3 linked regions of the Drosophila melanogaster genome follow. The protein of the gene in region 1 interacts with the protein of each later gene in a pairwise test. Each region holds a gene or a part of one and is shown in the gene's direction. Other genes may lie near its edges.

What was found.
Region 2: the proteins of CG5968 (region 1) and CG8838 interact in a two-hybrid assay, tested with the Drosophila melanogaster proteins (one large-scale study listed by BioGRID).
Region 3: the proteins of CG5968 (region 1) and Sas10 interact in a two-hybrid assay, tested with the Drosophila melanogaster proteins (one large-scale study listed by BioGRID).

What each region holds. Positions count from the first base shown.
Region 1 is NT_033779.5:16,543,816-16,554,762, reverse strand, and holds CG5968 (uncharacterized protein), read left to right. Parts: upstream 1-4,803; 5' UTR 4,804-4,876; coding exon 4,877-5,060; intron 5,061-5,116; coding exon 5,117-5,412; 3' UTR 5,413-5,582; downstream 5,583-10,947.
Region 2 is NT_033779.5:3,351,716-3,362,602, forward strand, and holds CG8838 (uncharacterized protein), read left to right. Parts: upstream 1-5,930; 5' UTR 5,931-6,034; coding exon 6,035-6,706; 3' UTR 6,707-6,903; downstream 6,904-10,887. Other genes in the region: E23 (early gene at 23), read right to left, coding at 761-1,677; GramD1B (GRAM domain containing 1B), read right to left, coding at 9,003-9,213, 9,281-9,728, 10,701-10,887.
Region 3 is NC_004354.4:5,310,487-5,322,351, forward strand, and holds Sas10 (something about silencing 10), read left to right. Parts: upstream 1-6,922; 5' UTR 6,923-7,017; coding exon 7,018-8,304; 3' UTR 8,305-8,585; downstream 8,586-11,865. Other genes in the region: TrxT (thioredoxin T), read right to left, coding at 752-1,225; dhd (deadhead), read left to right, coding at 1,974-2,297; CG4198 (uncharacterized protein), read left to right, coding at 2,947-3,659, 3,726-4,446; CG15930 (uncharacterized protein), read right to left, coding at 4,972-5,548, 5,615-5,700, 5,790-6,320, 6,386-6,550, 6,614-6,796; Rnp4F (RNA-binding protein 4F), read right to left, coding at 8,650-9,096, 9,168-9,270, 9,327-9,447, 9,512-10,018, 10,073-11,017, 11,076-11,251, 11,333-11,841. UniProt on the Drosophila melanogaster protein: Essential for gene silencing: has a role in the structure of silenced chromatin. May be involved in gene regulation during development. Binds RNA.

The sequences.
Region 1 (10,947 bases):
TTTGACTAATGACAGGCCACCGCCCCCACAGCTCGCCATTATACCATTTGTGGAAAACTTTAAATGCTTAACTTTAAGCTAAGCAAAAAAAAAGCGTGGAAAATAAGATAAAGTGGAACACAAAGGAGCGAAGCCAGTAAAAAAGGAGCAGCTATGTAGGCAAGACATAATAACATAGATAAAAGGTTGACAACTTGCTAACAAATGAAATGCAAACATGTTGCAGCGGTCCTCGAACACAACGATGATGATGACTTTGGGAGGGAAAACGAGAAGGAGGATGAAGGAGCCGCACAAAGGGAAAATTTATATGAACGGTAGCCTAAGCTGCTCAACTGATAAGACTGCCATGGAAAACTTATTAGCCAACGAGTAAATACACTTTTTGGATTATAAGTATATAGACTGCAAAAGAATAAGTTGCACTTAAAATATATTCCATTATAAATTTATGTTAATTTCTATCGCAACTTATCTGTATCTGTAAATTAATACGTATAACCATTATTTTAAGGGTAGATATCAAAACGCAAAACTCGAAAAGCTGTAAGCGCCACTTAGCCTATATTTTCCTGAATGGGTGGGCGTCACAGAAAGGAAATCCTGATAAAAAATACTTTTTCGGTAGCTAAATGAACTCAGAAATACTCTCTCAAGTCACATTAAAAAACTCAATTAAATTAAACTTATAAAAATATAGTACTCAAATGAATTGAAGCTAAAACACTTCAGTTTTTATTACCATTTGAGCTATTTGAACAATAAACAACAAATTTGAACAACAATAAAAGCGTATTTATTTATATTTATCTTTCTTTTATCAATCTCTCATCAAACATGTACATATCACTCTCGGCTAAATGGCTTTACAACCTTAATCGAAACTCCCCGTAGGTTGTAAAACAAATGTAGAAAGCGGCTTGCAGACAGGCAAACTGTGAAAGGAGCTTAAGGATTTAAGCCAAGACATGGAATGGAAACGGCGGGAGTCCGGAAAAGTCGTTCGAAAGGAGGCAAAACGAAGGCGGCTCAAATGCGGTGTGAGTAATTAAGACGCAAGTGCGTAAAAGTTGCCCGCATGAAAATGACGCAAACGATCAGCGTCAGACGAGAAAATTTGTGACAGTGGAACAACCCCCACGAAAGTAAGCAAAAGAAATGGCTTCAATTAATTGAGTTGGGGAAAAATTGAAGAGAATACAATTGCTGTTTAAAGTGGCATACTTTTGGGCATCGCCAAGCGAGTGTAGGAGCCCACTTAATGCTGGTTAAGCTAGAAAAGAGGCTTATGCCCAATCAAAATGTCTTAAACAGTACAGTATATGTTGTTGATATTTAGACTGCTCCAGCCGGGCTTGGCTTTAATTCTTGTGAATTAACCATATGCAAATCACATTTCGCAACAGCTGTCTGTCGTCTGCTTTGCTGTGGAAAACAAGTCAATTAAAATTGCCAATCTATGGGTATAAAATTTCCAATTGGCCAAGAAGGCACGTCCCAGACATAAAACAAAATTACAAAGCCCACAAAACAAGGATGGCACACACACACACATGGACAATAAACAAATTGCAATTAGTTGATATATGAGATACCAGATACGTACGTACGTATGTACGACTATGTATCTGGCACATACATAGGTGGAGCAGGTCACAGTTTATTGCCCGTATTCAGGGAGCTGCAAAATGCAACTCATATTTTACCAAGGCCAAAAATGTCTCGCTGCCTGCTCATAAAACATTTTACTTGGAAAAACCCAAACTGACACTGATGCTGACACTTTCACACAACTCATCTGTACCCCCCCCCCCAGTTCCCCAACCACCATGCCCCACCATTGTGCATATAATTTGTCACTTGCATGGTCTTCATACACAGAGAACATGATCTGCAGACAGACCACCAGAGAACACGAGGCACGCAAAGAAATTTCATGGAGCTCATTGAAACAATTACCGTTAAAGCTGGCATCACTAAACAAGACATACATAATACAAAAAGTTGAAAAAAAAATTCTTTTGATATGTCTGAAATGCCTATTCGATTAAACAGTTTGTCAAATGTAAGCGTTTATAAATTTTTTATTAAGTTTTAAATCAATTTTTAAATATATATAACATTTATATCCAGACATGCTACTGGGCCTTAGTTTTAAAGATTATTAAGTTATGTTAATATGAAAATATGCTAAATTCGTTCGATATAATTAGGCTTCGCCAGTATTTTTCTTTTTTTTTGGTGGTGTAAGTTCACAATGAGGAAAAATAAGGGTTGGGGTTGCCGGGCAGGTCATCCTTTCGAATAAAACACAGCAAGTATAACTGTCAGGCTGCAGAGGCTGCCGTTTATCACACATGTACACACACTACTCGCATGTACACTCACCTATGGGTCGCACTGTGTGCTTATAGGTTGACTCTGCATAAATGTCAAAGAAGATGCGAATGTGTGTGTGTGTGTGTTTGCCCGTTTGGTATAGAAGATTTCAGTTCAATTAAGCGTATTTGGCTAACAAATTAAACTTGAAGCAATTCAGTGAGTCAAGAGAAACCATTGACATAAAGGCAATGGGTTTTCAAATCGACATATATATGTCAAATTTTTAGTATTGATGTTTTTTTAGTTTTCAGGTTATCTATTTCATACGTATTTTATTTAAAGTGCTTTACCTAAACCTTAATAAATGCTTGCATTCTATCCATTCTGAGCCGTAAATATGCCTGAATTTCCTGTCCAATAAAATCCGTTGCAGCATTGTTCACAATTCAGCTTTTCTCATTTGCCATAAATAATAAGTGAAAAGCGTGTCATTCTAAACACGCCTTCTGCTTTCACCTACCGACTTCATAAAATACCTCGTTCGTGTTTTATGGCTGTGCACAGTGACAAGTGTTAAAATAACATTTGTACTGCATTTTAAATGGCATTTTGAGAAAAGAATTTCCGTGCGCAAGTGTGTTGCCATTTTGAAATTCTTTTATTTCTAGTGTGCAAAACGTTGGGGCAAAACAATCAACAAACGAATTTCCTGGTAGTCCGGTGTTTGTATTTCATTTTTGGGCTAGAGTCAAAAGGCTACATTTAACCGAGGAAAACATCAAACATTTTAAATAAATGTTCGCTCTGGGCGGAGAGCTGTTGTCCCTGATTTTTCAACGCTTCTATTTTTAGGTCTATACGAAACGGAAATCAAATAGAATTTAACCCACCTACAAAAACCATTCCTGCATACACACACAGATACATTTACGGCAAACAGACAAAGAAAAAACAGAAATCATAGCATACTTTAATGTGCTTTAGGGCCAGCAAAGTGAAGGGCAAAAAATGTATAAGAACTTATTGTAAATCACCGGATTGTTGAATTTTTATTTACATTGAAATTTACGTTTTAATTAATATGCAAACATGCACATAAAATTTGCGTTGGAAATATTCGTTATTGATTTTAAGATCCTATTGTTCTTTTTCCATGAATCGTTTATTTTATTATTAAAATAGAACGTAAAGAAGGAGCTCATACAACAATATTGAACAATTATTAATTTTATTGGCTTCTTTTCGGTCTTTTTCAGTTTCTGAGCGTACATTTTCCCATTTAAAAGTTATTTAATTACTTTACATTGGAAACATTTTAATATTTTAATGTTTAATTCAATTTAAAATGAATATTTCTGTATAAAATTGCCAAATAATATCACAAATTTTTCTTAAGCCTTTAAAGTTAAGATGTACAAATACTTAAAAAAGAGTACAATATATATATGTACGTAAAAGAGCATCGGAGAAACGATATATTTCTAGCTGTCACATTCGTTTTAACCATTTTTTTTATTGACTTTCAAACGTTCGGTTCAGTGGCAGCCATATGGCAAACTCTGACACTTTTTGATTAAATTACCGTTGACTGTCAATATCAAGAGTAAACGGCACTGCTTTCCAACTGTCCTTGGCAGCACTGGAACTGGCGTAGTTTTTGTACTTAATAGGCATTAATAACATTTTAACTTTGTTTAGTGCTTTTTGTTCGCCTTTTCATCGATTTCGCCATTGCCTGAAGTTGAAGATGACTGAGCATTGACATCTTTGTTAGTCAGTTGACTTTGACAGCTGTTGAGGCTTTAATTGCCACTATAAAAATGATTGATAACGAAAACTTTGGCGTGCGTATAAACATCCTTTATTGTTTTCTTTGCATTCGCTTTTTTGTGCCGTTTTTTTTTTTTCTTTTTTGCACAACCCAGTTTAATTAAACCTCCATATGGTATATATTCTGGGCTCGATTACCAAAGTGTGGGCGGTCAGGGATTCTATATTTAGACCACGCTGATTAGAAACAGCAGTGGCGAAAAACGTCAGCAGAAAGGCGTCCCTGATGTAAATATCAGAAGCCAATATTGGAGAACAGAGAGCGGCAAAGTTTGCTCAATTCTTTTACCACTCCTGTTGTTGTGAGTCGGGGATTATTGATAGATATGGCTAAATCCGCTTATATTGGCCAGCTTCTGCAAGGCTGATAGATAAGCGCTTGACGTCGGCCAGTCTACGTAAGTCTTGTTACCAACTGGATGGCGGTCCAAACTTGGCCAAGGATTCAAATGCCAGCGAACAGAGTACAATCAAGGTACAGGTATTTTTCTATCAATATGTACTATTCTCTTTTAATTAATAGATTTCTTTAAAATAATTGTGTTATTTAAAAGTGTAGGATTTTGTAATATTTAAATTAAAGCATGCTGAGAACTTGGTTGTCACTGAAATCTGACTAACAGCTGGCCAGTTGTATTTTGTGTTTTGCACGTAACTCTCAGTTCTTAGAACCGATTTTAGTGATAGCACACGTTTATACAGAATTACACAAATATCGAAAAAAATGCCCAACTTTAATGGGGCTATTATAGTGCACACACTTCAGTTGTTGAAAGCGCCGGCGACACTGCGAGAAATAGTGGTAACCATAGCCAAAAATACGGAATTATCGCAAGATGAGCTTAAAGAGCCTGTGAAACAAACCCTTGAAATGGGCCATCGCTTGGGATTCCTGCAGAAACTCGACGGTGAGATACTTAAACTTATTTTTATACCACACCTTAAAAAAAGGTAAATTCAAAAGGTCGCTACTTTTTGATGAATGTGACCTTCGAGACATTGATGTCTGAGATGGAGGCCCTTGACAAAGAAGAATCTCCGGAGAAGTCACTTAAAAAGAAAAAGAAATTAATACCCAAGACTCCTTTATCGTCGGTCGCTGAGAAAAAAATTAATAAGAAGCCAAGTCAAGTCAAGACAACGGAACAGTTGGTAAAGTCAAAACCAACTGAAAAGGGCCGACTGCAGGACATTCCTAGTTCATCCACAAACATAAGAAAAACGCCATCCAAGCTGATTAAGCGAACAGTTTTTAAGTAAGCCACGCAAAAGGATATTCGAACTTGTCAAAAAAAAAAAAAAAAAAAAAAAAACATCCAAGAAACCAATGCTACATATATTTGTTACAGGATAAATTTCTTGTCCGTTCTATTATAATATTTGGCCCAAAATAGGAAAAGATATTAAAATCTTATAAAATTTCATTAAAGCGTTTTTAAATCTAAATATTTAAAATAGGTCCATTGGGTATAATCGATTAAAATACGAAATTGCTGTCGGGAATAAGTCCTTACTTTCCGTCTCCTAATTCCCGTGGCCAATGAGAGGGTGCCTTTGAGAAATGGTGGCTCATTTGCGCAAACTGACAAATGTCTCAATTAGCGGAGGACGAATCCTCAAATGCAAGGGCGGTGGGGAGTATACATATATTCGGGAAAGTGGGTGGCAGCGAGGCGCCCGACAATGTCGCGACGCTTCCTATTCAATTTGAAAACCAAATGAAGCGTTGCCTCCGCCAAGGAGCAATTTACTCAGTGCATTGAATTGACCATATGGTTGGACACCCACCGAAGTCACCCACACGCCATCCGCACCACCGCCCCTCGAGGCATTTAGAATGGCCAACCCACCAGTTACAGGATCCCTTAAATTTTCGTAAAAAGCTTTAATGCACTCAAACAAGTTCTACACCATATTGTACTGTAAAAGATTTCAAAAAAGTAACTTTTTTTAAATCACTGTATACTTCATATGGAATATTTTTAGAGATTAAAATATTTATTTCTTTTTTTTTTATTTATTAGAAATCAAGTTCTAAATATACTATTTTATTTTTGTCATTAATTATTGTTGGAAATAAAGATGTATGAATAAAATATTTATTTTAAATAAACTTATGAATTTCGAATGCAAATCCATTTTTTCCGGTGCAATTGTAGGGTTTTTTATATAGTTACTCGCGCTGCTTTGCTTTGACCTTTGCGATGACGTCGGACCGGCGTCGGCTACCTCAAAGAGAGAGCAATGTAAACAGAGAAAGAGAAAGGCAGAGAAAGCAAGAGAGAGAACCAGTGGGGGAGAGAGCCTGGTGAATAAACAGCATGGTGAGAAGCGGTTCCTACGCGAAGAGTGCAACAAATGTTTGGTGGACAACTTCGGGCCAACAAGGTAAATGTTAAGGCATACACGATGGCTGAGTGGGTGAGCTTGTCGTTGGGTGGTTTTAGCGGGCGGTGGGTTAGTTGGGCGGGCTGCTTAGTGGGGTGGTTGCTTTTCGGCCCGTGACGCGTGGGCAGCGACAAAAGCGGGTGAAGCTATGTCTTGCCCTTTTTTTCGGCATACTGGCATACATAGCACGGCGAATTATTTGTGTGTGCCGATGTGCGGATATACAAATGTGTGCCTTTATAAGTGTGCTTTTATCAGGGTGCGTCAATCTAAGCCAAGTTCTGAATTTACGAAAGTCTTGAAATGCCAAGTATATTCTTATAAAGGTTTAAGCGCTAAAAGGAAATCAACAGTCCGCAAAAATAGCTGATCTTAATATTTCTTCTATTAAAAAAAAAGCACTTAATTTTAGTTCAGATCTTTACTTAGTTTAAGTCCTATATGCATGAACAAGTTTAATCAATATTGAAGTTTTTTATATTTAGCTTCGAACAAATTGCTCCACCCTAATGCTCCTGTATCCTTGTTCGCGATGAGCGTATACCCAGACAACGAAATGTCACAGCAGCCTACTTATGCTTTTTTCGCATCGCGTTTTATCCCCAAATGTGTGTGCGATTTTTGGTTCAGCTTTTTGGCATATGGTCGCCGTGCCGGAAAAGTGGGAAACCGGTAAGGGGGCTGCTTTCCCATTTGCAGTTTGGCTGAAAAGCTGTTTCGCTTATTTCCCTCTTTTTTAGTCAACCGTTTCTAGATAAATATTTTGCAACACCGCATCGCATTTCCATGATTAGCAGATAAACATATGCCAAGTTGCAAACTTGGCGTGTGTGTTCGGAGTGTAGAAGTTTAGAGAATCCCTGGGTAGTGGGCGGTTATACACGCGACTTTAATTGAGCTTTCAAGAGGACTAAGTTAAACATACAAATGTTTGCTTAGGATGCAACAGCTGTTGGCTGTGAGTTAAAAATTGTTCGAAAAAAACCTCTTTGGAGAAGTGGAATATCTTAAAATATTTAAATTTAAAATTTGATTTAAAACAATAAATGACGTAAGGTTTTTAAATTATAGTATAAAAATACTAGATTAATCGAAAATTAATGAAGTTTTGTATACCGCATTGAAACTGTGTATCTAAAGCTTTTAACTATTTAATGCCCAAAATTGCCTAATAGCGGTTCAGTTTAAAATAAAAAAAAATTTAATTACCCGTTATTATCACAAAATATATTCCTCACTAACTAAAATCCTTTTATCTTTAACCCCACACCCATTGTCATTCCATTTGGTTGGAATGTAACGCCTGCCCTTAATTCAATTAACTTTAATGAACCAAATTATAATTGCAAATAAATTATCTTATTAAAGACGCAGAAAGTTCGCACTCTTGCCTTTTAGTAGCACTAAAACTCTGAAAACGGCGTCAAGGCCAATTAGAAAACTTTGTCCAAACATCTCACTACCAAGAAGGACGAAACTGAAACTTATCTTTTGGATCAGCAAGAGCCCATTTTCACCCAAAAAAACCCCGTGTGTCTGGGCGACAATCTAGCATATGCCAAAGTAAAAAGCTCACCAAAGTCAAACTCGATTAAAAATGCATAAATGCAATTAAACGCAAATGGAAATCGAACCAAACTCGCAAAAGCTTCAAGCGAAAACGCCTCGAGGTGGAAAAGCCAAAGAGATACACTTTCCAAGAATTCCACTTTTTTCACAGACATTTGTTTTTAAGCCTAGAAGTTTAAAAGTATTAATGGATTTGCAACACATACAACATTAAATACAAGTGATTATATAATAATTTTATAATTATATAATTAAATTTTTTATTTAAATTAATTTTTACTCAGAAACATTTGATAGTACGGTATATACCCATAATTTTATTCAGTGTATGAAAGCAAAAAATGTAAAAGATATATGTAAAGAGGCAGTGGGCGGTGGGAGGAGGCCAGATATCCAAAAGACGCGACAAGTGTCGGCCGAGCTTTGTTTGGCGCAAAGAGAGCAGCGCACTTCGAAGAGCAAAAAGCGCGAAGCCAAAAATCCAAAGACGACCATAGATAGTAAATTGCAAAGTTTATGCCGCCAAGTTCATGAAATTGTAATAGCTTCATACCACGGTTATGCTTCACCAAAGTGGTCATACAATTAAAAAAATTACGTACACCTAACTTTAATCCATTAAACTCGTACATTTATAATTATAATTTCTGATTTGGCGGAATTAATGAACTAAGTACATCGTGCATTCATTTTGCTATTGGGTCCACGCATGAGCTTTGTAACAGTAAAAGAAGCCCTGACCATGCAGTTGCGTCAATGGGTGCGAGGGAGAAGGGTGAGTGTGGGAGCAGGAGGTGGGCTTGGGTATTAGAGAGAGAGAGAGTGGGAGAGCGCGAGAGGCACTGGTTGAGTTGGTTTTGCTGACTGCACTTGTTTTGCCATCGTAGTTATTGTTTTTGTTGCTTGCAACGTTTTGCTGCCACTTGGCCGCAAAGGCAACAAAAACAAACACACACTAATACACGTGCGCGTTATTGCCAATTCACCCACATACACACAAACAACAGTTAGCCGCCGCTTGTGTGTGTGTGTACGCTAACATATTGAACGCATTTTTTCATATTTCTCAATGGAAAAGCCAACTCTAAACACCGTTAATATCATCCATATTAGTTAGTTGTCATTTGTGAGAGAAGAAAATGTGAAAAACATGTAAATTGCTGGGCAAAATAATGCAACATATGCTAGCACCACACTCTGATATTATCAACTTACTTTGCAAGTATTTGCCTTTGAATTTGGATTTGATTTTGCTTTTGTTTTCTATTTATTTATTTGTTGCTTTTTGGTTTTATTTCTTGCTGCACTCACTAACACAGAAACACACACGTACGCGCTAAACACGAAAAGCAGCCAATATATTTTATTCGTTTTGATTTTCACTGCTTGGAAATTTTCGCATTTCCATTTTCGAAATGCGTAACAACAAGTATTCTGTGGTTGAACAAACAACGATTTACGCGAATATAATAAAATAACGATAAACGGTTATTACGATGGTTTCCGCTGGCCAAAAACCTGCGACGAAATAGTCAACTGAGGGGAAAACAAGTAACAATTGTACCTGCCGAATTTGTTTTTAAACGCTTGCCAGCTTTTCTGATTTTCCGATGCGAACGCGCGCGCTGCGAAAAACATATTCGAAGCGAGTCGGAGAAGCCCCTCTATATAGATTCTCTCCGGCGCTTGAAAACAATTCGCATTGAGTGAGTTACGAAAAGCGGCTGATTCGGGCGCCAATTTGCTCCCACGAATTCTGCACGCTCTTACTCCAACGCATTGGAATGCTCCGCGCTCTTGAGCGCTTTCTGCACTGTTCGCTCGCTAACGGTAGTTCATGTGACGTTAACGTAAAGCTTGTTTCATTGCTTCATTATTGCAATGCAAAAATTTACATTATTTCTTCTAACTTACCCATTAACCGAATTAAATCTAATATCTAACATCAAATAAGTCGTTATCTAAATTATTGTTTTAATTTTTTATTTGACCTGGGCTTTTCTATCGAATTCTATGTAATTCAATGCAAAAATTGAAGTTGTTAGTATTTTTTCTTTGTGCATAAGAGTAAGCAATTGTTGCTTTCGTGCGCTCTCTCTTTTTCACTATCTTTTAACCCGTTCGTTTGCGTGGGTGCCAGGGAAATTTCCACCCACTGAAAGTCCTAAAATTGAGTTATTAAGTGAATCAAGGGCCAGCAAGGTTTTTGAGCATAGTTATTTGAATGTCCAGAAGATCAGCTTATTACCAAATGCATTTATTTGATTACTCTATCATGTGACACTACGTGTACAAAAATTATATGAATAAGATATTTACGTAATGAAGCCGAGTACGACTTAACAATATTTTAAACTTAAAGCTAAATATACATTTTATAATTTGAATAAGAATAGGATTGGGAAATTCATATTTAAGGACGGGCTTAATATATAATATAAAATATCCCTTTTGGCGTCGACTGCGCTGCATTTCCTCTGCCGTCGTTTTTGTTCCAAAAATCGCGTGGGAGAGTGAGTGAATAAAGGAAAGGTTGGAAGAGGGAGAGGGAGAGAGTGAGAGTGAGTAGGTGAGTCCAGATTGAGTTATTTTTCCAAGCCTGCAACCTGTATGAAATTATGGCTCAAGAGGCCAAAAGCTTTACGCGGTTGAAAATTGTTGCTTTTGCGACGCCGGCCGAAATGCAAACAGCTGTTTGCAGAATACAACAAATAATAAATAACTTGAACTTCAAAGCAAAACGGAAGGAAGATTTCAATATTTCATGGAAAAAAAAAGAAAGAAACTGGCTAACAACTTCATACATATATAAATTTTAGTATACGTAATATTATTTGA
Region 2 (10,887 bases), about 13 Mb from region 1:
GCGTGAGTGTTGCTGCAGCCCCACTTTGACCCCCTTTTGTACTCCACCTAACGAAGCGCTTGGTGTCCCCCACTCGGCTTGTGAGATGTAATTAAGCAGATACGGCTGCCTTTCGGATTTGCCGAAGGGGATATCCCCAACGTGCTGAGTGATACCCTAGTTAGTGGCAGGAAGCTTCAGTTCTAGAACGAGTTTTCGAGCCGATGGGCAATCAATTAATACTGCAAAAGTGTTCGGGCCTACACTGCCTGCTAAAAATCTGATAACGAAAAGGCACACTGTTTCATGTAATTGAAATTCTAGGGCAGGCTAAAACTGCTCAGCCAAAAGTATATCGCAATTGATGGCTGACTTTGAAAGCAAACTTGACAGCTTGAGTACGAACCGATTCAATCAAAAGGAACATAGATTCGCTATCGAGCTCCAAGAGTAGAAGAACATAGATTCTCCATTGAGCTCCAAGAGTAGGAGTAATTTGCTCCCGCTCGAACTGTACAAAACGAGCTGCAACTCACTGTCAACCGAATGCAACCGGTTGGAAACGCCACATATTCATCCGGAGAACTGTTTTTTTTTTTTTTTTGGAAAAATCCTGATTTACCCTTGGATCGCCTCCACTTTCCCCTCCTTATTAAGACGAAGTCTGCATGCAATCAGTGCGGACACAAAAAAAAAAAACAAAACATAACACACACACACCTGAATTTATGTAGGTACGAGCTTGGCTCGGAAATTGGGTCAACGCTGATTGAACACTCACCTTTTGGCATCAACTAAAATGCTTTTGCCTATATTGGCCAGACCATTGGATGACGTTAGATTATCCGTACTTGGTATCGTTGTCTGTGATGTGTGCGTAAATTCTGAGGACGTTGAGCTGGAAGATGACGACGACGTCGAAGATGCTGATGATGAGGCAGAGGAGTCGCTGCTGGCCACCGATGTCGCTGCTGTCGCATCCGATGTTGCAGGCGGGGATGCAACGCTTGCTGCTGCTGCTGCTGCTGCGGCCACTGCCGATGTTGCCGGCTCCACTTCGATCTGGAGGCGGCAGTCGGCCACTATTTTGGCCAGATTGCGACGGCTGGCACTCACCAACGGTACCTGCTCCGTTGTCTCGTTGTCATTGTCCGATGATCCCATATCGACTGCCTCAACACTTTCCACGATCATCAAATTCATTGGCATTTTTTCGTAATGAGTCGCCGCTGCTGCTGCCTCACACTTTGCCTTTTTCTTGGCTTTGAGCTCCTCGGGTTCCTTTGGAATTTTCTGAATTTTTGCCAATTTGCGAGGAGCAACACAGGCGGCAGCAACTGCAACTGTTTCCTGTTTAGCTGGTAGTGTTGTTGCTGCTGCGGCTGTTGTTGTTGTTGTTGCTGCTGCTGCTGCTGCTGCTACTTTTAATGACTCCTCTACAACTTGTTCAGCTGCTCCTGCTGTCGAGTTTATTACCAACGAAGTGGCCGTCGTCGTTGTTGAATTTATAATTGCCGGCTGTTGTTGCTGCTGCTGCTGCTGCGACTGCTGATGCGGCTGCTGATGCGACTGCTGATGCTGCTGCTGATGCTGCTGCTGATGTTGCTGCTGGGTTGCCAGCGCCGCGGCTCCACCTTCTGGTATGATTGTTGCAAAAATTTGTTCGCCAAATATGAAAAGATCCTTGGAAATAATCATTATCACCTTTTTGTGAACGCTTAGCTGGATGTTGTTGGTGTTGCCGCCACAGTTTTAAATATACGTACGTGTGTATTGGGGGGATTTTAAATGTAAATCTTGTTTAAATATATCTATGTGTATATGCGTATACAACTTTTTGCTCGTCTTCTGCCTGCACTCGCCTTAAACACGTTTCGTTTCGTTTCGTTTATTTTAATGCATTAAACATATTTTGCGGCTCTGGGAACTTGGCTTTTTTGGGGATTTCTTTAAAATTTCATAATTCCCTGGCTTGTCTGGCTTGCCTCCTTTTTCTTTTCTTTTCCCGAGTTGTGGCCGACTGTAATATAGTAAGAGCAGAGAAGAGTACAGATATAATTAATATGTAAGCCAAGTGAAACAAGTTGTGATATAATTTTAAGATTTAAGAGATTACATGATTATGAATACACAAAATTATTTACATTTTCGACAATGATGTCGGAAGGTAAAAAGTCAGGCAAGCACGGAAACAAAGTGATGATTTTATTATTATGAGCAGTTTGCTTTTTGCTGCACAATCCCAGTGAATTGCATTCAATTTATAATTTATTGTTACTAGGAATTCGTTGCTTATTCAAGTTGCAGTGCTAATTATTCACGCGTTATTCATGCGATATCTCTGTTATTCACTGGAATCAGATGCTCGCCAGCTCTCACCGAAACTATTCACTTCATTTCAGGCTTCACTTAATTCGTAAAAACGTTCTGCAATTTTAATAATTTATTTAAACTTGAAAATGTTTGCCTCGACTTCGAGGAATCTCCTCAAAAACTCAGATTCTACACAGCTTTTTGGCTTGAGAACTTTTCCGACAATTTCCTATATGCACTGCCACCGGCACAGAAAAAGATAATGAAAAGGAATCGCAGAATATCGGTGAGAATTGGGGAGAATCAGAGAGAAGTGGAGACGCCTGGCGAATTTTGTTATATTTGTCAATTAGCCCGCGCGAAACAAAGCGCCAGAGCAAAACGTCAGTTTTCATTTTTAGCGATTTCAGTGTGTTTGAACAACATATAATATAAGGTAAATGCAGTAATTGCAATAACAACGCACCCAAAAAGCGAAGGAAGGTAATAAAATTCTTTGTTGCTTTTTCGAATTTGATATTAAAAATCGTCAGCACTTTTTTTGCAATTTAAATGATTTCTTTGCCTTTTTTTTTCGGCTTACTTATTGAACATATGTAGGTTTCTTGTAAACATTTTTGATAACACGCGTGTTAATTATTGGATGGGGAATTACTCGATTTATAAAGCCGAAACGAAACACGGACAGATCGAACGAAAAGTAAAGTAACGTAGAAACACGACGAAAAACAGAGAGCTATTCCGCTTTTCCACACAACGCGAGTTCGGCGCGCTTCAACATTGAAGAAAACATCCAACGGCGCCCGTTGATCTGAACGTACTGAACTGATCGCGGACCGTTAAAGCTAAACGCTTGCGCCAGCGCTCCAAAAGTCGCCGCTCATTCATTCCCGTTCTCTCGCGCTCTCGCTCTCGCGCACTCTCCCCCCACACTCATTCTCGCCGCCTACGATCACCACACGTGCGTATGGAGCTTGCACCGAGAAAAATCGCCCTAAGGTGTATGTTTTAAGTCGAGGAATGAAAAACCAAACAAATTATGGCTTGCATTCAGAAGGCATGTAAGAGATATCTCTGCAGTATCGAAAAATGATAAAAATTAAAAAATTAGATGATAAAGTTAAAATTTTATAAAGTAAGTTAAGAAATAATTGATTACGTTAAAATTAAAAATCCCTGGCCTTCTTTTGTGTAAACACTATTTAATACGAATTATAGTAATAAGTAGTTATATTTTTTTAAGTGCAGTCTCTCTCCCTTGCTCTCTTTCTATTACATGAATGTTAAGTTATCTCTGCGTACATTGCATTACAAATGTTATGGGCTTACAGCGAGATCACTTCCCCTGCTGTTCCCTAACAGTAACAGGGCTCAACATTTTGTTATCCATATTCAGTTCCCAACGAACTTTGGTAATCTTCGTTGATAAATAAAGCGAACCAATAAAAGTTGGTTATTTAGTTTGACTGATCTCGAATTTCAACTTGGTGATAGAAATTTAAGGTCTTGGCTGGCAACCCAGAAGTCATTCAACAAGTTTCGAGACGTTTTTGGAGTAGCAAGCGGTTTTCGGGCGATTTAATGTGTCTCGCGAAACAAAAAGTTTTACTAATTTTTGAGTCTGTCCTACGTTTCGATATCTTTTGAAGGCAATTTTTCTTCTTTACAAATTATATTGTACTTATCAAGGAGTTGGATCAACAATGAAATTTTCTATACCTTTTTTTAAGTACTTGAAATTAAAGTTGACAATAAAATATTTGTTGGTCTGCGAGCCTTTAATAGGGTACAATTAAAACAAATTAAGTCTCTAGAAGATTCGCTTCATAATTTCTTCTTAATGCTGTTAGGCAAATGCCCGCTTTCCAATCTTATCAGTCATTAAACTCGAGGGTAACCGCTGCGTATACGCAATTTGAATGCGTATACGAACCGTGTGTGCGTGCAATCCGCGGATACGATTGTGTGCGTGGGTGGCCAGAGGGCGGTAAGGGGAAAACGAGGGAGGAGGAGATTACACTTAGAACTTGGAACGATAATACAATTATAAGCCTTAAAATGTGTCACCTGCGCTGGGTCGTTGACCAAATCAGATGGAAAATAACGCACAATTGCATATTAGGCCTAAATAATGATGATTGTTCAGTTTGCAGCGAAATTATTAAGTTTATTGTGTTGCCATAAACTTGGAGCGAATAAGTCGCCAAGTTGCCGCTATGTTTTTTTCTCGTTTTCGGTGCGTAGCTCTCGGCTCTCTATAAAAAAAATTATTTTTTCCTGTTGCTGTGTTGGTGGTTTTACTGTTGTTACTGTTTTTTATTTATACGCACAATGTGCAAAATGTGCGAGACACCCATACAGTGGCACCAATTCACGCACACGCACTTGCTCTTAACCTTGAAAAAACACACAGCCAATTTGTTGTTGCTCTCGACTTCTGGTGGCTTTCTTTTTGTTTTTGTTTCGTTTTTTTTACTGAACTTTGTTTTTGTTCTACCGCTGATAAGATTCTTATTTTCTTTCTTTTTCTCCTTAATTTGCTCTTTTCTTCTTCTGATGTGTGCTAGTGCGTATGGTGGGCCATTTTTCTAAGTGTACGTGTGAGCGTACGGCAAATATTGAATTTCTAGACAAATTTTATTAAGCGATGTCGGAATGTGAATAGTTTCTTGGTCTTTCATTTTGTATGTTATTTGCTAAATTTTCTATTAATTTAATTTCTTAGTCGACTATATACACGTATGTGTATTATATACAGCTGTGTTGAAAATTGTAGCCAGTTAAGAAGGCAAGGTTGAAGATTGCAGTTTTTTATAACAATGTAGCCTAGTTGTATTTAAGGCCAATATAAAATCCATATATGTATGTATATAATATATACTTACTTCCCTACATCGAAGAACCGTTGAAAAGGCCCCCAAATTTTGCACGAATTGTTCCTGATTTTTATGCGGTTTAATGAACTTGAACTCTTATCAGTCAGGTTGGCTTTCTTGATATTGCCCAGGAGAGAGCTGTAATGCAACAAAAGAAGCGGAATAAACAAAGTCGGTGATCTTACTCATGCCATTCGGCGTCATGTGAATTTATTTTAGGATTTTGAACTTGGTTGAGTTGGGAAATAAAGCAGGGCTATCGAAATTGGGTCGCCATTTCTTTTGCTAGACTTTGTCGCTTTGGATATACGATTACTTAGGATAAATATAAAAAATCGACTTTATTTTAAAGTTTACATCATCTATTGCACATATACTTTATAAGCTTAAAAATTGTACTTTACGTTACTCAAGATTTATCAACAAGACGATCGCAATACGTAAGTTATAACATTAAAGTTACATGCCTATAAGTATGCAAATATTTTGTCAGCGTTTGTGTATATATATGGCATATACGTCTTTAGCTTTAAAATGCGTCTTTAAATAATTGTAATTTACGATCGCAATACGTAAGTTATAACATTAAAGTTACATGCCTATAAGTATGCAAATATTTTGTCAGCGTTTGTGTATATATATGGCATATACGTCTTTAGCTTTAAAATGCGTCTTTAAATAATTGTAATTTACGAAGGATTCAAAATTTTTAAGAAAATACCTCTGCCCAATACGTCAGATCACATGTTCATGGAGAAATCATTTTCCAACCACCCACTCAGTTTGTAGCAGTACAAACACCCCATTACACATTTATCACTAAACATTCAAAGAATTTTCCAAACTTTTACTCTGTTTTAAACACGATGACGTCCATGCTGAATACCCCGATAGTCTCCATCTTCGATTTGATGGTGGAACGTCACATCAGGCTGCGCAGGGAACTGAATGGAAATCTTCCGCCAGTTCGTCGGCCTAAAGCAGCACGTGGAGCTGCCGACGGAAAGAAACCTTTCAAATACAAACCAAGTCCGATGGAGTTTCCCTTGCCAGAAACACTGGAATTGATGTCTCCGCCAGCGGCAAATGCCATTACTGCCGCGCATTTGACCCAGAAACACACTTTCCTTAAGATCCAGCCACCGAGCGAGAAGAACGCAATTAAGAAGCTGGTGGAGAAGATGTCCCATGGACGAGGCAAGACCAAGACCGTGTCGCCAAGGCACTCCCTGTCCAGCAAGAAGACCAGTGCCAATTCCTCCAAGACGGTCGTCATTCAGCCTCGCAAAAGGAAAGTAGCCGGGCAGGGATCATTCCGTGCTCAGCCAAAGCTCGGCAAGACCAGTTCCACTCAGTTGAAGCGACAACCCCTCTCTCCCAGAAGGGCAGAATCTACAGCTAAGGATGCCAGTACGCTGAGCAAGACGAAGACCAAGAAGAGTTCGCCTGAAAAGTCGGGTGCACAGATGCGAAATACCAGGTCTGCAGATCGACTCGGCAATGCAGAGATTCCGGTCTCAAAACGATGGCGTCTTTAGAAGCGATAGATATACCAGTAGATTTTCATTCATTCAAGCTAATCAAATTTGCACCAAGTAATCAACAACTTTAATCACAGTGATCCCTCCATGTGATGGACCGCACTGAATCCCACATGAAGGCGATCCAAATTGAAAATGTACTTAAATATGGATTGTCTAGTTTATATACACATGAATAAAAATGTCATGAAATGAAATAAAGGCGTTATTTTTTTATTTTATTTATTCGGTTTTATAATAAATTAGAATTTTCATTGCTGCAGCTTAACATTCGGTCTCTTATTCTTGTATGTTCTGTTTAATAAGCCTAAATTGTGACACAAATCGTAAGCCAATTTAGCTAGGGCCCAAATTAATTTGACAAGAGTTAGTTTTTAGCGTGGTATTAACCAACTTAAAAATTTTGTTAGCTTAGATCTAAATGTATTTTTCTTAATTATTCCGGTTTAGTTTTCTCTTCACATTCAATTCGCACAGGTTCCTGCTTTTTTCAAGCTTTTGCTTTGTTTATTTTTGCTCTGGTACATTAAAATGCAACTACTACAGACTAACAATACTTGGCCATATATACGGATTATATATATGGTGTATATATAGAGTTACGCAGTTACTGGCCATAGCCTTGACTTGCGATTTGGATTAAATAGTTTGAAGCATCTTGTTTCTGATTCTTGTTGTGGTATTGGTATCGGTATCGTCTGTAAACGGGCGCCAAAAATCGAAAAAGGGTAAAGAGTTGGGAGGAGTTATACAAAAGAACGAAAACATTGCTCACAATTGTTTCGATTGGTTTTACAAAAGTATTGTACACAATAAGTATTTTGTATAATCGTTTTTATCAAATTTCCCCTAGCCATGGACTGGCAATTATATTAAAGTTATAGTTATTATATACTCTCCAGTTTGCCAGTTTTGCGCTTGCTCGACATGTAAATGAATTTTCTAAAACAAAAATTCAGGGCGCTCTCTCTCTTGATTTGTTTCGGTTTTTGGTATGTTGTGAGATATGAAATACTTGAGGATTTGTAGATACATTTGTCTGAAGCAAAGCCAAGCAAACAGGTGCTACACGTAAATGCCGTGATAAAAACAAAACAATTGCTCTAGTCTAACTAAAATGCAGCTACTTAGATCATACACGCGCTTTTCTTACCATTAAAACATAATCTTAAATATGTATACAAACATATTGGTTTGTGTTCTTAATTTCTTTTCAAAGTGTATTGGGTTTGTGACTAAATGTTAGTTGAATTTTAAATTCATTTTCAGATTTTTTGGTGGCTTTGCTTTTGGCCCAAAAAATTGTTTCGGGTGTTTTGCTAACATGTCGAAGACAATTGGATTGGATTCATTTTACTTGCACATTTTGTTAAATAATTTTACTGCTAGCGTACTACGATTTCAGCCAAAGTTCTTTCAGTCTGAAAAACAAAAGGATTTTGAGTAAAACAGTTTAAAAGCAAACTTATGTTCTCCACACAAAAAGCGTTTTACAGGGAAGCATCCAGGATACAAATTAGTCAAACATAAAAAGGATTAGTTGAGAGTGAATGAGTACTTTCTACAAGGGTAAATACAAAATTAAAAATTACTTACAAAAATACAAGGTTTTGACAGTGAGTTTGTGTGGTGCCATGGGAATCTCTTCTCCATTCTTCATTCAGAATATGAAAATTTTTAAAGGTTTTTCATTACAATTGCAATCGTACTTCATGATACATTAACCGTACTGGCCTTGAGTTTGCTCTACGGAATACAAGACTTATCTTTAAGGACTACTTATCAACTCTGCTCGAGATAGATGTTGGAAAACATAGGTTAAACCTTGATTGGGATACATGAATTTTCAACATTAACCTTAACATTCAGTGTCAGAGGATGTGTATCTTAATCCGAGAGAATAGAACATGCACAAGTTTGGGTTTTGTGTATTGCTAACTAGGAGATCAAAGTAACAAATGCCCGCTGGTGCAGTGCGTTTCAAAACTATCAGACCTTTCCATCTGCTCGTGAGATGACTAAATTTGGCAGTAGTAAGGAATAAAAACGAAAACATTAAATGCAAATAGAAAACAACCAAGTTCTTTAAGAAAAAACTAATGCATCCAGTTAAAATTCATTTATCATAACGCTGAGGACGTTAAGTGGACTTCTTAAATCTGCCCTGCAGTTATGAAACGCCTTGCAAGTATACATGTGTGTGGTAGTGAGTGTTAAAGTTACAATTAGTTGACGCTGTTGCTGTTTGCCGATGTCTCTGATCGCCGCTGTTAATCACCGTCTAATGAGATGCTTAGAATTCAGTGCGCCCCGCCATCGACATCGACTCAATGCTCTGACGCAGGTGGCTATCATTGGTGATCTTTTCGCAGACAATGCTCACCTTTTTCAGCAGCTCGATGGCAGTTTGGAGCACCTGCTGCCATTTGTGCAGCTCGTTCTCGTGCGCCATCTCCTGGTCTCGCAGCAATTCCAGCCATTCCTGATTCGTGCTCGGCAGCTCACTGAAAAGCGTAGGTTCATTTGCATACATTATAGCGAATTTGGTTGTCAGTATGGATTTGGACTCACCTCAAGGCCGCCAAACTGGGCATGCGGGCCCGCCGATTGAGATCCACGTCAATGCGTTCCTCCAGCCTCCAGAGCTTAAGTAATAATATCACATTTAATGCCAGCATCAAGCACAGCAAGAGTATAACCAACAACCACAAGCCCTTGTGTCTAAGTCTGTGACCCTGTGACCCTTGACCCGATGCCAGAGGCTGACCGTCGCCGCCGCCCAGGTGCAACTGCTGCTGCTGTAGGTGCTGCTTGTGCGGCTGAAGGTGGTGATGGTGCATTTGCTGCTGGTGGTGGAGCTGTTGCTGCTTGCCGCCCTCGAGCAGCAGCGGATGACCGGCGGCGGCGCCGACTGCCGCCCCGGGAATACCTCCCGCGGCCAGCATTTGGGTCTCCAGGGGATCAACGGCTGGGGCCGGACCAACTGCCTCCTCCAGAGGACGAATTTGGGTGGCGGTACCTGCGGAGAAACGGGGACGAGCGAAGGAATGGCATATGGAACGGTTAGAAATCAAACCATTCGAACGGAAGAATCGAAATGAACATAGGCCGGCAACAAAATCACAACATTAAGAGTACAACAAAATATAAATCACTAGTAAAAAAATTAAGCTGCAATAAAAAGCAAGTGATTAGGAGGTACATGATGGGCTAGCAATCGTCACGAGAGACTGTATTTAAGATAAAAGACATATCATTCAAGACATTTCCAGAAAAGTTTGCATTACCAGTAGATAACTGTTTATGAAATGAACCAAGCCTTTCGGTGAAAAATATCCTTGCAAAAAATTTAATGATCGACATAATATTAGGTTTCTTTAACGAAATTAATGCGCGAACTAAATCGAATTGATTCGAAAGCTTCGTCAAGTTCTTGTGACTTAGTTGAAGGTAAATCCATTATGAACTAGAAGGGGACAAAACTTTAAGCAAAATATGAATGAAGCCTTATCGAAATTTGATAAAGCCATTAAAAGTAATCATTACCAAGAAAAATTATTAGATTAATAAAAAGAAGCATTCAAAAGGAAGGTTAAAATTGGTGAAATCGTTTTATGATCGGCAACCTGTATCACGTGTGCTCATAAATCTTTGGCAGTGCCAGCTGTGCTTCTTATCGAATTTACTTTGAAATGTATATTTGAAGTTAAGCGCATTAAAAGAGCGAAATCCCGAAATCCCTCTAAATTACGTTTCAAAACCTCATTACTAAACATTCGCTTCTCAAATAGAAAAGAAATAGTTAATAGTTAATAGCTAATGACAATAAGCCGACAACATTTGAAACTATTATTTTTGACATCTTTTCTTTAAAGATGAAGTGGTCAATTCTGAGTAGATTATAAACTAACTATATTTTAGTACTGATAGACATACACAATTCCCCTGTGGCAATTGCTAGTCAGAAAGGATCCAAATACTTAAGCTGTACCTCTGCCGGACTGAAGTAGAGCCTTACGGTGATGCCAGTGATGGGGATGTTGCTGCTGATGATGGGGAAGCAGAGGCTGATGATGATGATGATGGGAGTGCCTGGCATCGTGATGATGATGCTGACTACCATGGTGATGGTGGTGATGATGGTGCATGTGCAAGTGCTGGTGCTGATGTTGATCCTG
Region 3 (11,865 bases), on another chromosome or scaffold:
TAAATCGATATAAACAAACAAACTACGAGTATTCCATATGCCCATATCCCTCCCATATCCCATTTCGCCCAAAGATCCTTAAAGGCAAAAGTATAGAATAGAATAGTTGATTGTTTATTGTGTAGATCTATTTGTTTGTCTGCAAACTTATAACTAACAGCTAGTAATGCGTATTATTTATGTCGGTCGATTGTACATATTTCCATTTAGTGTATAGTATATGGTGTATAGTAGTATATATATATATATATATAGCGTCCCTTTGCTCAGTCTGCATGGTGTATCAAGCTCGCTGCAAAATCAACATCAGTTTGGTGTGCGGGAGCGTGTGTTGAGTAAGTCCCACAAGTCCTCGGATTCCCAAAATGTTTGCTATATGTAGAATCGTTCAGCGACGTAGTCCTCCTCCGCCGTAACAACATCATCAGGCTTACAATTGTAATGCAATCATCATACTTTAGGCACCACAAATGATGAGTATTATGAGTGTGCATAATAAATCTGGGATAAGTGTGTGTATTATATATATATATATATATATATACATCGATAAGTGTGTGTGTGTGTGTGTGTGTGTGTCTATGTATATATATATATATATATCTATTGCTTTCTTCCGTTACGTCTGTTGAATGATGAGCTGCAGGAGAAGGAGCAGGGAATCGGTTATGTGACCACAATGCTTGCACTCCGGCAATCGTACTTACATACATATGTTGTCGTTATGTTCGGAGTGTAATGGTACTTTTGCCTAGTGCTCCAGAACGGCATTCTCGTCGTGGGCGGACACCTCATTAACGTTGTTGTTGTCGTTGTCGCTTTCACTGGACTCGGCGGTCAGATCGACAATGCATTCGCCATCGATATGGACGGCCTTAACGTCGGCCGCTTCATCGGTATAAACGCCGGCATGCTTCTCCATCAATTTGGCCAGCTTATCGGAATTGCAGCCAACGAAGAGCTCCAGCACATTGCCGCCCTTGATGAACACAAAAGTGGGCATGCTATTCACATTGTATTCGACCGTAATGTCCTCGTTCTCGTCCACGTTCACCTTGAGTACGACGACACGGTCCGAGTACTGCTGCGCCAGTTCGTCCAGCTTGGGTGCTATTATCTTGCAAGGTCCGCACCAGTCTGCATAAAAATCAATTACCACCAGCTTGTCCTCGGCGAGGATTAGCTGCTGGTCAAGATCGTCCTTGTTCCGCACTGGGTACACCATGACTTTAACTAAATTCCAAACGGATTGCAAATCGAAACGAAACAAAAAAAAAAAAAAATGGGAAGAGAAGAAAGAAAAAAAAAAGGAAAATGTTAGAAAATCTTGTTTTGGGTGTAAAATTCACTTGATTTGTTTTGTTACTTTTGAATTTTAATGGAGCTCTGCCCTCGCCGAGATATCAGCCCGAAATGAAAATTGTAGGGCGGCAGGCGTTCTTTTATACAGTTTTCGCCAAATATTTTGCGGCCTTCTTGGATTGAAAAAAAAGTGTTTTCAAATGTCAGCGGCGCGGTGTGTTGAGGTGAGTTTGGCTTCGAACCTACCACGGCTATGGCAACACTCGAGGAAAATATTAGTACTATGTCGTGTGACGCCATTATTTTGCCATAATTACGATAATAATATTCATATCGATATCGATAGACCTGCCGTGGTGAATAAGTATGTTCCCCACCCCCCAACACACTCGGTTGGCTTTCCCAACGACCTGGCAACCCTAACACGCCCGCCATTTTGCACTCTCCATGGGCCGCCATTTTGTTTAGCGGCCACGCGAGAATTCAGCATGCAAATTGGCGGGAATTCCACTCTACACACCGCCACTTGGAGACCCCTATAAAGTCGCCTACGCAGCCGCCATTTCAATCAGTTCACAATTTGCAGCGAAAGCGCCAACAGCCCCATCACGTCAAGTTCTTTAATTTAAAAAAAAGAAGAAAAACACTTTGCTAATCCTCGCGACATAAAAATGGCATCCGTACGCACCATGAACGACTATCACAAGCGCATCGAGGCGGCCGACGACAAGCTAATCGTGCTGGATTTCTATGCGACATGGTGTGGTCCCTGCAAGGAAATGGAGAGCACCGTCAAATCGCTGGCCAGAAAATACTCCAGCAAGGCGGTGGTGCTCAAGATCGATGTGGACAAATTCGAGGAGCTGACGGAGCGCTACAAGGTGCGCAGCATGCCAACGTTTGTCTTTTTGCGCCAAAATCGACGCTTGGCCTCCTTTGCCGGCGCCGACGAGCACAAGCTGACCAACATGATGGCCAAGCTGGTGAAGGCGTAAGCAGCAATCCTGCCCAGCAATTAGCAATCAGCAGCGCATCTTTTTTTTTTTACTTATTTAACTCATCTTTTAAACATGTTCGCCTCATTTGTGTTCGTTTATGTATTCGATGTTATGTGTATGCTCATGTGATGTTTAGCTTGTAAGCGCGAGATGTGGGTAGCAGGAGATGCAGTGCAGCCAACAGCAGTGACCAGATGATATATGCTATGCTACTACTACTACTTATATGCTATGATTTGTGGCGCGGAGGCGTGTCTGCGACACATAATCCCGCCCATTTAGCTTTAAGATTCAGGCACTAAGAAGCAATTCGATCAATAAATTATTGTAACCACTCTGGACATTTAAATGTTAACATGGAATCAGCTTTGTTTTTTTTTTGCCCACAGCATTTGGATTGTTAACCAAGTAGGCGCTGCGTGGTCATGTCATTTCGGGTTCCAGCAACATTTGGCATTTGCTAACCAAACTTGAGATCACACACACGAAAAACAAAAAATCCCAAACATTCCGCAGCACAAATTCAATCAAATCCAAAACGCACATTTCGGTCGCATCCAAATTGTACGGATTTCGTTAGTAAATAAAAATCAAATTTCGTGTAAATCCAATCCATAATCCGTGGTAGAGTAGAAACCACACCATCATGTCGTATCAGATCAAATCGACGCCCTACTTTCGTCGCATGTTCAACGAGAGCAAGAAGAATGGCCAACTGCAGCGTCTGCGTGATGAGTACGAGCGCATCCAGGAGTTCAACGATCGCACCATCGAAATGAAGATGCGACAGGTGCGATTAAAGCGGCTATTTCGCGAGATCGAGGTAATTAAGGTGGCTGGCGGGGCGGCCGGTGGCGCCAGCGGTGGCGGCACATCGACGGCATCATCGCCATCGAATGTTGACCAATCGTTTGGTTTAGCCGGCGGACGCGTTACCCGCCGGAGACGGCAACAGGCACACGGTGCTATCACGCTGGCTAGCAGCACGCCCCAGCAGCGGATGCACAAACAGCGCATAGAGACGCTGGCACGCGCACGCCAACTGGGCCAGGAGATCTCGCGTCGGAATGGCCTAATGGCCGAGGCCGGCACCGGCGGTTTCCTGCGCAGCGAACTCCGGATGACGGCCAAGCTGCAGGCGGCGAACGATGCACGCCGGGCGGCCGTGGAGCGTCGCGACTTGGCCGCCAAGCGCATCTCCTATGGCAACGATCAGTCGCGACAGAATATCCAACGCATGCTCATCCAACGCCAGCGCAGACATGAACAGCAGCAAGCGTTGGCGGCGACAGTAGCATCACCGGCGGCACCGTCATCCAATTCCTACCAGGTGTCCATAGCGCAGCAGCCGGTCACAAGGTATGTAAATCTTCTAGAGAATTGTGGGGTTATGTTCACCTTTGTTTGTTTTTTTGTTTTGGCCAGCAGGCCCAGGCATGAATACACGGACAATTGCCAACAACAGCAGGAACTGCTGGCGGTGACCAGTGAGCGATCGACGGAGCAGGGCGATCATTTGCAGATGGAATGCGAGGGGCAGTCGTACTCGGAGCAAAGCTTCCATTCGAACGACTGTCTGGCGCAATCGATGGACGAGGATCTGGATGGTGAGGAGGAGCTGGAATACACACGCCATCGGCGTGATGGCGACGCGGATGAGGAGCCGGAGCGGCAGTCCTGCCTGGTGACGCTGAACAAGGAAAGATCCACATTGGCAGCCACATCACCGCTGGATATGCGTCGAGTCAAAAGCTCCATTGATTCGTATCGAAAGACGCACCTATCTCCGCTGGCCAGCGGCAGCAATTGGGTTCGGGTTGTTGGTGGCGCCCAATCGTCCACCATTGGATCGCATCAGCCAAGTGGAACGGTGCCGCCGCCGCTAAACGATGAACTGCAGCTGGATTCGCAGTCCAATTCGAGTAGGTGGCATGAGGTCTCAATGATGCTGTCGTGGTTCGGCGCCGCTTCCGACATCCCAACCGACTATGCCGATGCTCCGCCACCCGAGGTGCCCAGTCACTACGATTGCGATTCCATTAGCAATGCGGACGATATGCCAACGCCAACTGTGTGCCGTCGACAGCGCATGTTCGCCGAGCAGCCGAGTGATGCTGCCACACAGGCGCAGGAGGAGCCCTTCTAGCCAGCCGACGAGCGGCAGACGCACTGCAGCACACATCTATTTTTTTTACTGCAATTCGGTATGGAAATCCAAACCATCCAACCAACCAACCAGGCAAGTCTGCAGCGCCTGCAAAGTTCACTTATTTGGCATGCTACGCTAGTTTTGGCTTAGAATTCCCGGCCCATCCTGTCCAGAAGTTGTGCACGTGCACTTGGCTGGCAACCTTTTCGCATCTTTATTTGGTAATAAAATTATGGGTATGGTATTACATTTCACAAATAATAATAAAAAAAAAAAAAGAAAAAAAAAAACAAACAGCAATTTCATGTTCAAGTTACACTTTTCAAATGATGCAGTTCATCCCTGAGATAAATGATTGGCAAACATGCCAGCTTGATGATTTATGTATGTTCCGTCGTCTGGTTTTGTCCTGTTTTCATCATTCCTGCTCCTGCTTCTGCTTCTGCTCCTGGTTGCCCACTAGAAGTGCGTCATTCATTTTTATTTTGAAATGGATTCAGCGCCTTGGGCACATGGTAATCCCTATGGAACGAATGCGAAATCATCATCATCATCATCATCATCATCATAATCGTGCAGCGGCATAATTAGCGGCTCGACCATCCCAAAAGGCTGCAGTTCGGGCGCATAGCAACAGGACTCCAACTTGATCCGCGACTCGATTAGATCGTTGATGGTGGGCACAAAAGTTTCATCATACGATAGCCGCATAGAGAATATACCCTGAGCGGTATCCAGTTCGCCGACATGGGCATACAATACCCTATTGAATGTCATGCGCTGGAATGCGGTGATACCATTTTTTGGCCACCCATTGGCCAATGGGCGTACGTGCGACATTTTGCCGCGAAATACCAATGGCGGTGTGCGCGCAAAGCTTAGTGGGAGGAATCGTAGATGGTTCGGTGCCAATGTGACAGACAGGGCATGATCCACATACTCTATGTTCACACATTGGGCGTCCAACGGTGCGGTGACGAGCACCATGGCACGTCGCCAGCCACACTCGCTGTAGGCGGCGCATATGTAGCCCTCTTTATAGAAATAGCTAGGCAACTCGGCACGGTAGCTGCTGATCGTCGTATGGCGATAGAACCAGCTATGGGCATTAAATAACAATATTATCAATCAATCAGTCAATCAATCGATTTAGTTAGTAGCTTACTTTAGATCAATGGTCATCTCGGCTACAGGATTCTTGGCGTACTGCGGTGGCACAATGTGGAACCAGAACTCACACGGAGAGAACACCTGCGCAAGAAAAAAAAACAAAAAAAAAAAGATTGAACTCCTATTTCAAAGCTGTCTCTTTGCTTGGCACGGGACCAAAGCGCACTCACACAGCTCATGATGATCGGGAAGATAGAGTCCTCCTTGCAGATATCCTGGATACGCTGCGGCGGCAGCTTCCAGTGCATGCCAACGGCATCCATGGGCAGTCCATACATCAGTGCACACAAACTAACATCACCGATATCCGGGAAATCGGAAAACGACGGTATCAGTTCCTTGACAATGTAACCATCCGTCGTTTTTGATTCGAGTCCATCGCTGTCGCTATCGTTGTCCGATGTCGACGCTAGCAGTGTTTCCACTGACGCAGCAGCTTCTGCCACTTGGCTATTGCTATTCATGAAGTCAGCATTGCCGGTGTGCAGTTCATGCATCTTCATTGGGCCAGGATTGTTCATTGCCTGGCGCTCCGACACGGTGGCTAACAACTGCTCCAATGGCTTTCCATTCACCTGGACATCGGCTACATCCGGCGGCACAACGATGTTGCAAAGCATCTTATCGAAAATTCGCACATGGTGCTGGTCGTCAGTCTCAGCCGTCGGCTTGGAATCGGTTGTTTTTAACTCGAGAGCGATCTTTTAAGGGGCGAAAAACTTATTAGTAATTTCTACAATACATATATGTATATATTTCGACGCACATGTGCTTTTTCGAAAACTTTTTGCAAGTCACTCGAATCGGAAATCACAAGCCGTATTTTGGCATTGGGCTGGCGCAAATCGAGTGCTAATTCAATTGTTCCATTGATCTGCTGTTCAGAATTAGCCGGCTTCTTGGAATCGGTAGTTTTTTCCTCCAAAGCGATCTTTTAGAGGAAATTACTTATTAGTATTAACTAAGCATACATGTGTAATTTGAATTTACGTACATCTTCGACAACTTTTAGCATGTCACTCAAATCGGCTAACACTTTGTTATTCCGCATTTTGGCACTGGGGCAGCGCAAATCGAGCGGCACATCATTGTTATCCTCGGCTTCTTCCGAAATTTTTCTCAATTTCGAGAGCAAAGTTTGAAGTCTTCCTTCTTTGACGTCCATCTTGCTTTGCATCCTGATTTTAACTGAATTTCAATTGTGGAACTTTTCCCATGTGGCATCACCGCCGTAAGCTAGACGCTAGAGATGGCAAATGCGCCATCCGCGAAATCCACCACACCAATCGGTCATTGGCGGCTATCGAACGTGTTATCGAGCCGTTTGTTTACGCACGTGTTGTGTTTGATTTAATTTAGTTTTAATTTGTATTTAAACGCACAGAGAGCAGCTAGCAAATGGACAGCGACGGTGACGACTACGTGATGAGCGGCTCCGACCAGGAGTACGATGACGAGGAGCGCGAAATACTCGAAGATCTGCGCAAGCAGCGCAAAAAGCCACATGATCCCGTCCAGGAAGTGCTCGGTTTCAGTGATGATGACGACGACGACGACGACGACGACGAGGAGGAGCAGCAGGATGTGGCGGAACTGATGCGCGACAGTGACATCGAGGGCGCCGAAGACGATGACCGCGATCTGCCCAACACCATGGACTGGGGCAGCAAACGGAGCACGTACTACAACACCGACTTTGTGGACCAGGACTACAGCAGCTACAATGCCCAGGAGGAGGAGCAGGCACGCGCCGAGGAGGAGGAGGCCAAAAAGATCCAGCTGCGTCTGGCCAAGCGCATGAGCGAGGCCGATTTCCAGCTGGACAATGTAGAAGCAGCGCCCGCAGGCAGCAGTGATGACAACGAGCTGAGCCATATAACCAAAGTGACCAGCGATCTGGCCGGCCTATCAGAACGCGAGCGACGACAGCTGATGCACAGTGAGTCGCCGGAGTTCATCATTCTCACCCAGGATTTTCAACAGCATCTCGACGAGGTGAAGAACCTATTGAAACCGGTGCTCAACTACGTTCGCAAACACGATGTGCCCATGGTGCCGGCGCTGCAATATGCCGGACTCTGCCACACCGTGCTCACCACCTACTGCTCCAATGTGGCTTTCTATCTGCTGCTCAAGGCACGTCGCATCGACGTCAAGGCCCATCCGGTGATTAGGCGGCTGGTGCAACTCAAGGATCTGATCGAGGAGCTTAAGCCGCGCTACGAGGAATACATTCGACCGCAGCTGGAGGCGCTGCTGGAGAGGATTGAAGATGGCGATGCATTCACCGTGCTGGATGTGGCACAGCGCAAGGCTAAGCTGCAGATACTCAACAAGTACAACGATGGCCAGCAGGCGTCAGTGAGCTCCGATGATGATGATAATGATGACGATGACGATGCTGAGAGTAAGGAGAAGGATCTGCAAGAGGAGGCTGGTGAGGAGGAGGAAGAGGAGGATGCGCGACGCGGCATCACCTATCAGATGGCCAAGAACAAGGGCCTCACGCCGCACCGCAAAAAGGAGCTGCGCAATCCGCGCGTTAAGCATCGCGGCAAATACCGAAAGGCGCTCATCCGGCGCAAGGGAGCCGTGCGCACGGTGCGCAAGGAGCTGCAGCGCTACGGCGGCGAATTGTCCGGCATCAAGGCCGGCGTCACGAAGAGCGTCAAGTTCCGCACCTAGTTTTTATCCAATAAATCCGCCAAGATCATTACATTTTAATCAACTCGATGTTTGTACACTTGAAACACCCATTTCATCCAAAGACTCACCGGGGATTAGTCAACTAGCTGTCATATGCGAAACAAACAAACATTTTTCTTCACTTGGTTCATCAAGAAACCAATTTATATGAGTCGAAACAAAAATCATTGTCTTACAACAGTTTTTCTCTTTGTACAGTGTTCTCCAACCTTGTCTGTTTAGGTTGCCTTAAATCTAAAAAAATATATGCTCCAAATCTTCGTCTTCGTCTTACAAACTAAACCATGGCCGCTGGCACCGGGCTCAGCCGCCGGCATTTGTCGCCTAATCCTTGAGAAATAGCTTGCGAAAGTCATCGTTTGACTTGGGCACAGCAGCTGGCATCTCCTCTTCTTTTTTCTCATCTCCCTTTTGCTCCACTCCACTTTGCTCCTCTCCTATTTGATCATCTCCTTTTTGCTCCTCTCCTTTTGGCTCCTCTCCTTTTTGCTCCTCTCCTTTTTGCTCCTCTCCTTTTTGCTCATCTCGTTCTTGAACATCTCCTTTTTGCTCCTCTCCATTAGCCTCGCGCTTGATGGCCACGTCGACGGATGCCGAAGTGGATGATATGTCCCCCGGCTCGGGCAGAAGCAAGCGCAGCTTCTTGGCAGCCACCTCTTGGCGCACCAGAGTCGTGGGTATAAGCGAGGTGGGCACACGTCGCTTGGGCGCCACACTTGGCTTGACAGCTGATGTGCCCCTCGGCGGTGGGTTTGAAATGGCCACAGAGATCTGAAAGAGTTGTGAAATGCATTTGCTTTGGTTGGTTCGGTTAAACATGAAGGCACACATCATTCGCTTACATTCATGCCCTTGAATAGACAACCATCTCGTCCAGCCACTGCTCGTTGCGCCTCGCCCGGCTTCTCGAACTCAACGTATGCAATGCCCTTGAACTGCTTGTTTCTGTAGAGGATCAAATAGTTTAAAATCAATAATTGTAATTGTAATCTCGCACTCACAGCTTGTGCACCAGGCGCACATCTTTGATGGTGCCGAAAGGCGAGAAGAGTTCGTGCAGCTCCTCCTTGCTGCAAGCGGGATGCAGATTTCTTACAAAGATCTTATTGATTTCCATGTTGGCTAGAAGAGAGACAACTAATGTAAGTCCTTGAAACGCATGTGTCCAAACGGCATGGCGACTCACGCGAATACTTAAAGTTCGATTCCTTGGCCTCTGCATTCGCTGGCCCCTTGACTTTCGATGGCGGTGACGTAGCTCCACCAGATGGCTCGGTTCTGGACTTCTTAATGCCATGCTTCTGCTGCTGCTGCTGTTGCTGTTGTTGCTCATGCGCCTGGCGACGTCGCTGCTCGCGATTCAGTGGCTCACGATTCGTTTGTTGCTGCTGCTGGCGCGGCTTAAGCTTCTGCTGGCGAGGATAAGCCGACTGTGAGTTGGGCTTAATGCGGGAACGCGGCTTCACATACTCGACAGGCAGATCGAGGGCCTGGCAGGCGGCAATGGACTCGTAGGTGCCATAGCAACGTTCATAGCGGCGAAAAAACTCCTGCACCATAAGGCCATTCTCGAGGACGGGCTGCGAGAGAGCTTTGCGAAGGACATCGCGTGTGCCGTGGCCACCATTGTATTCGCTTTCCATCTGGGCAAAGTTCAGCCAGAGCAGGCCGCGTATCGAGCTGCCCGGATAGCCTAAAGATGAGTAGTTAAAACATTGCTTATGCAATCATATTTCAAAGCGCTCACCCATTATTTGGCGCCAAATCTCACGGCCATTGTCCGGACTCCCCAGTTGCGTGTACTCAACTTGGGCCCACAACTGCAGCACCTCGTACCTGGTGTCCGCCTGGTCGCCGTAGAGCACGGTTAGCTCCTCCCAAGCATGATTGAAGGCGGCACGCAGACTGGCGACCTGCTGCTCATCGCTGGCATTGGTGTTGCGAATACGATAGGCCAGATAGTCCAGATGCAGCTCCACGGTCATATCCATGTCGGTCACAATGCGCTGCAATATGAGACGTATCTCTTCATCCACTTCCGCCAACTCAAAGTCCGAGCGCTCCATTAGGTCGAGGAAACGATGATTCAATTGTACACTGGGATGACTGCGCACACCACGATTGGCCAAATCGAGTTCCGTGTTGCGCAGAAAACCTTTGCCCAAGCGTTTGGCCCGTTTGGCTACCATTTCGGCGGTTACCTCATTCTCATCCTCATTCTCCGGCACAGTGACGCCTTCGAACTGAATGAACTCAATGTAGGATAACCAGAGCACATCGACAATGGGAAACTTGGCCACCGAGCGTTCGAATATGAAACGGATCACAGCGTTTTTGAGGTCATCGTCAAGGGATAATGTCTCCACATCGTAGACATGAGCCTTGTGTTGCTCAGACCAATCCCAACCACGCGTTGTCTCGTCCAGATGTTGCTTAAACTTGTCCACAACGGACTTGATCATCTGCCGCTGCTCCACGTTGCACGTCCAGGTGACGCAGTGCTTTTGCAGCATTTCCACAAAGGCGGCAGCCTCATTTTCGTCCGTAATTGTCGATATCAGCGAACGCAGCTTGTCGCCAAAGTCTGGACGCTCCACGTCGTAGTCCGCCAGCAGTTTGGCCCACAGCACATGGTTCTGTACGTTGCCCTGATCCACCAGGTAGTTGACAACGTATTCGGACAGCGGTATGCCTGCAATATGTAACTCGTCAATTGGTTTAACTACGAATGGATTCTATCTATCGCATACTGTAGTAGTAGCCCAACGCTTTGGCACACTGCTCCTCGAATGCCTTGCGCTCCTCGTCCGTTTGGGTGACGACCAGGCGGGCCTTTAGATACTTCAGCCACACGTGAGCCGGCACAGTGGCCAAATTTTGCAGCTCCAGCACCGATGACTCGATCTTTTCCAGATCATTCAGTTTGCTGCATTAACGAGCATCAACATTAGCTAATGCCGATATTGAAAAAATGGAAAATGGGAGTGGGAGAAGCAGGCAAACTCACAATGCGATTCCAATGAGCGAGACCATTTGGGCAAACTTTTTGCTGGGCAACGCATTCAGCTCCTGATACGAGCGCTCTAGCTGATTTCCGCCGCCAGCGTTGTCGCTATCACTGTCACTGTCACTGGACACCTCACTGTTCGATTCCAATTCCGAGCCTTCGATCACGCCCACATCATCGCTACTGCTGCTGGAATCATTGCGCGCTCTGCCACGGCCAGCGGCATTGCCTCCCTCAGTCTCCTCCACTGACGGCTCGTCGTCCGATGAGATCAACTCAATGGTGGTCATATCCCCGCCGGCGGACGACGGTGGCCAGGTTGGGCGCGATCGTTGGCGCAGCTCCTCCGACTTGTGCTCCTCCTCCTGCTGCGGCGACTCACTGTGCCCCTGCTGCGGCGAGCCCTTGCCCTGATCGGGTATCACGATCAGATCATACTCGTCATACGCATCGTCGTCCAAATCCTCTGCCGGCATCTCGTCCAGCTCCTTCTCCAGCTGCCTTTCCAGCTGCAATATATTGGGCATACGCAT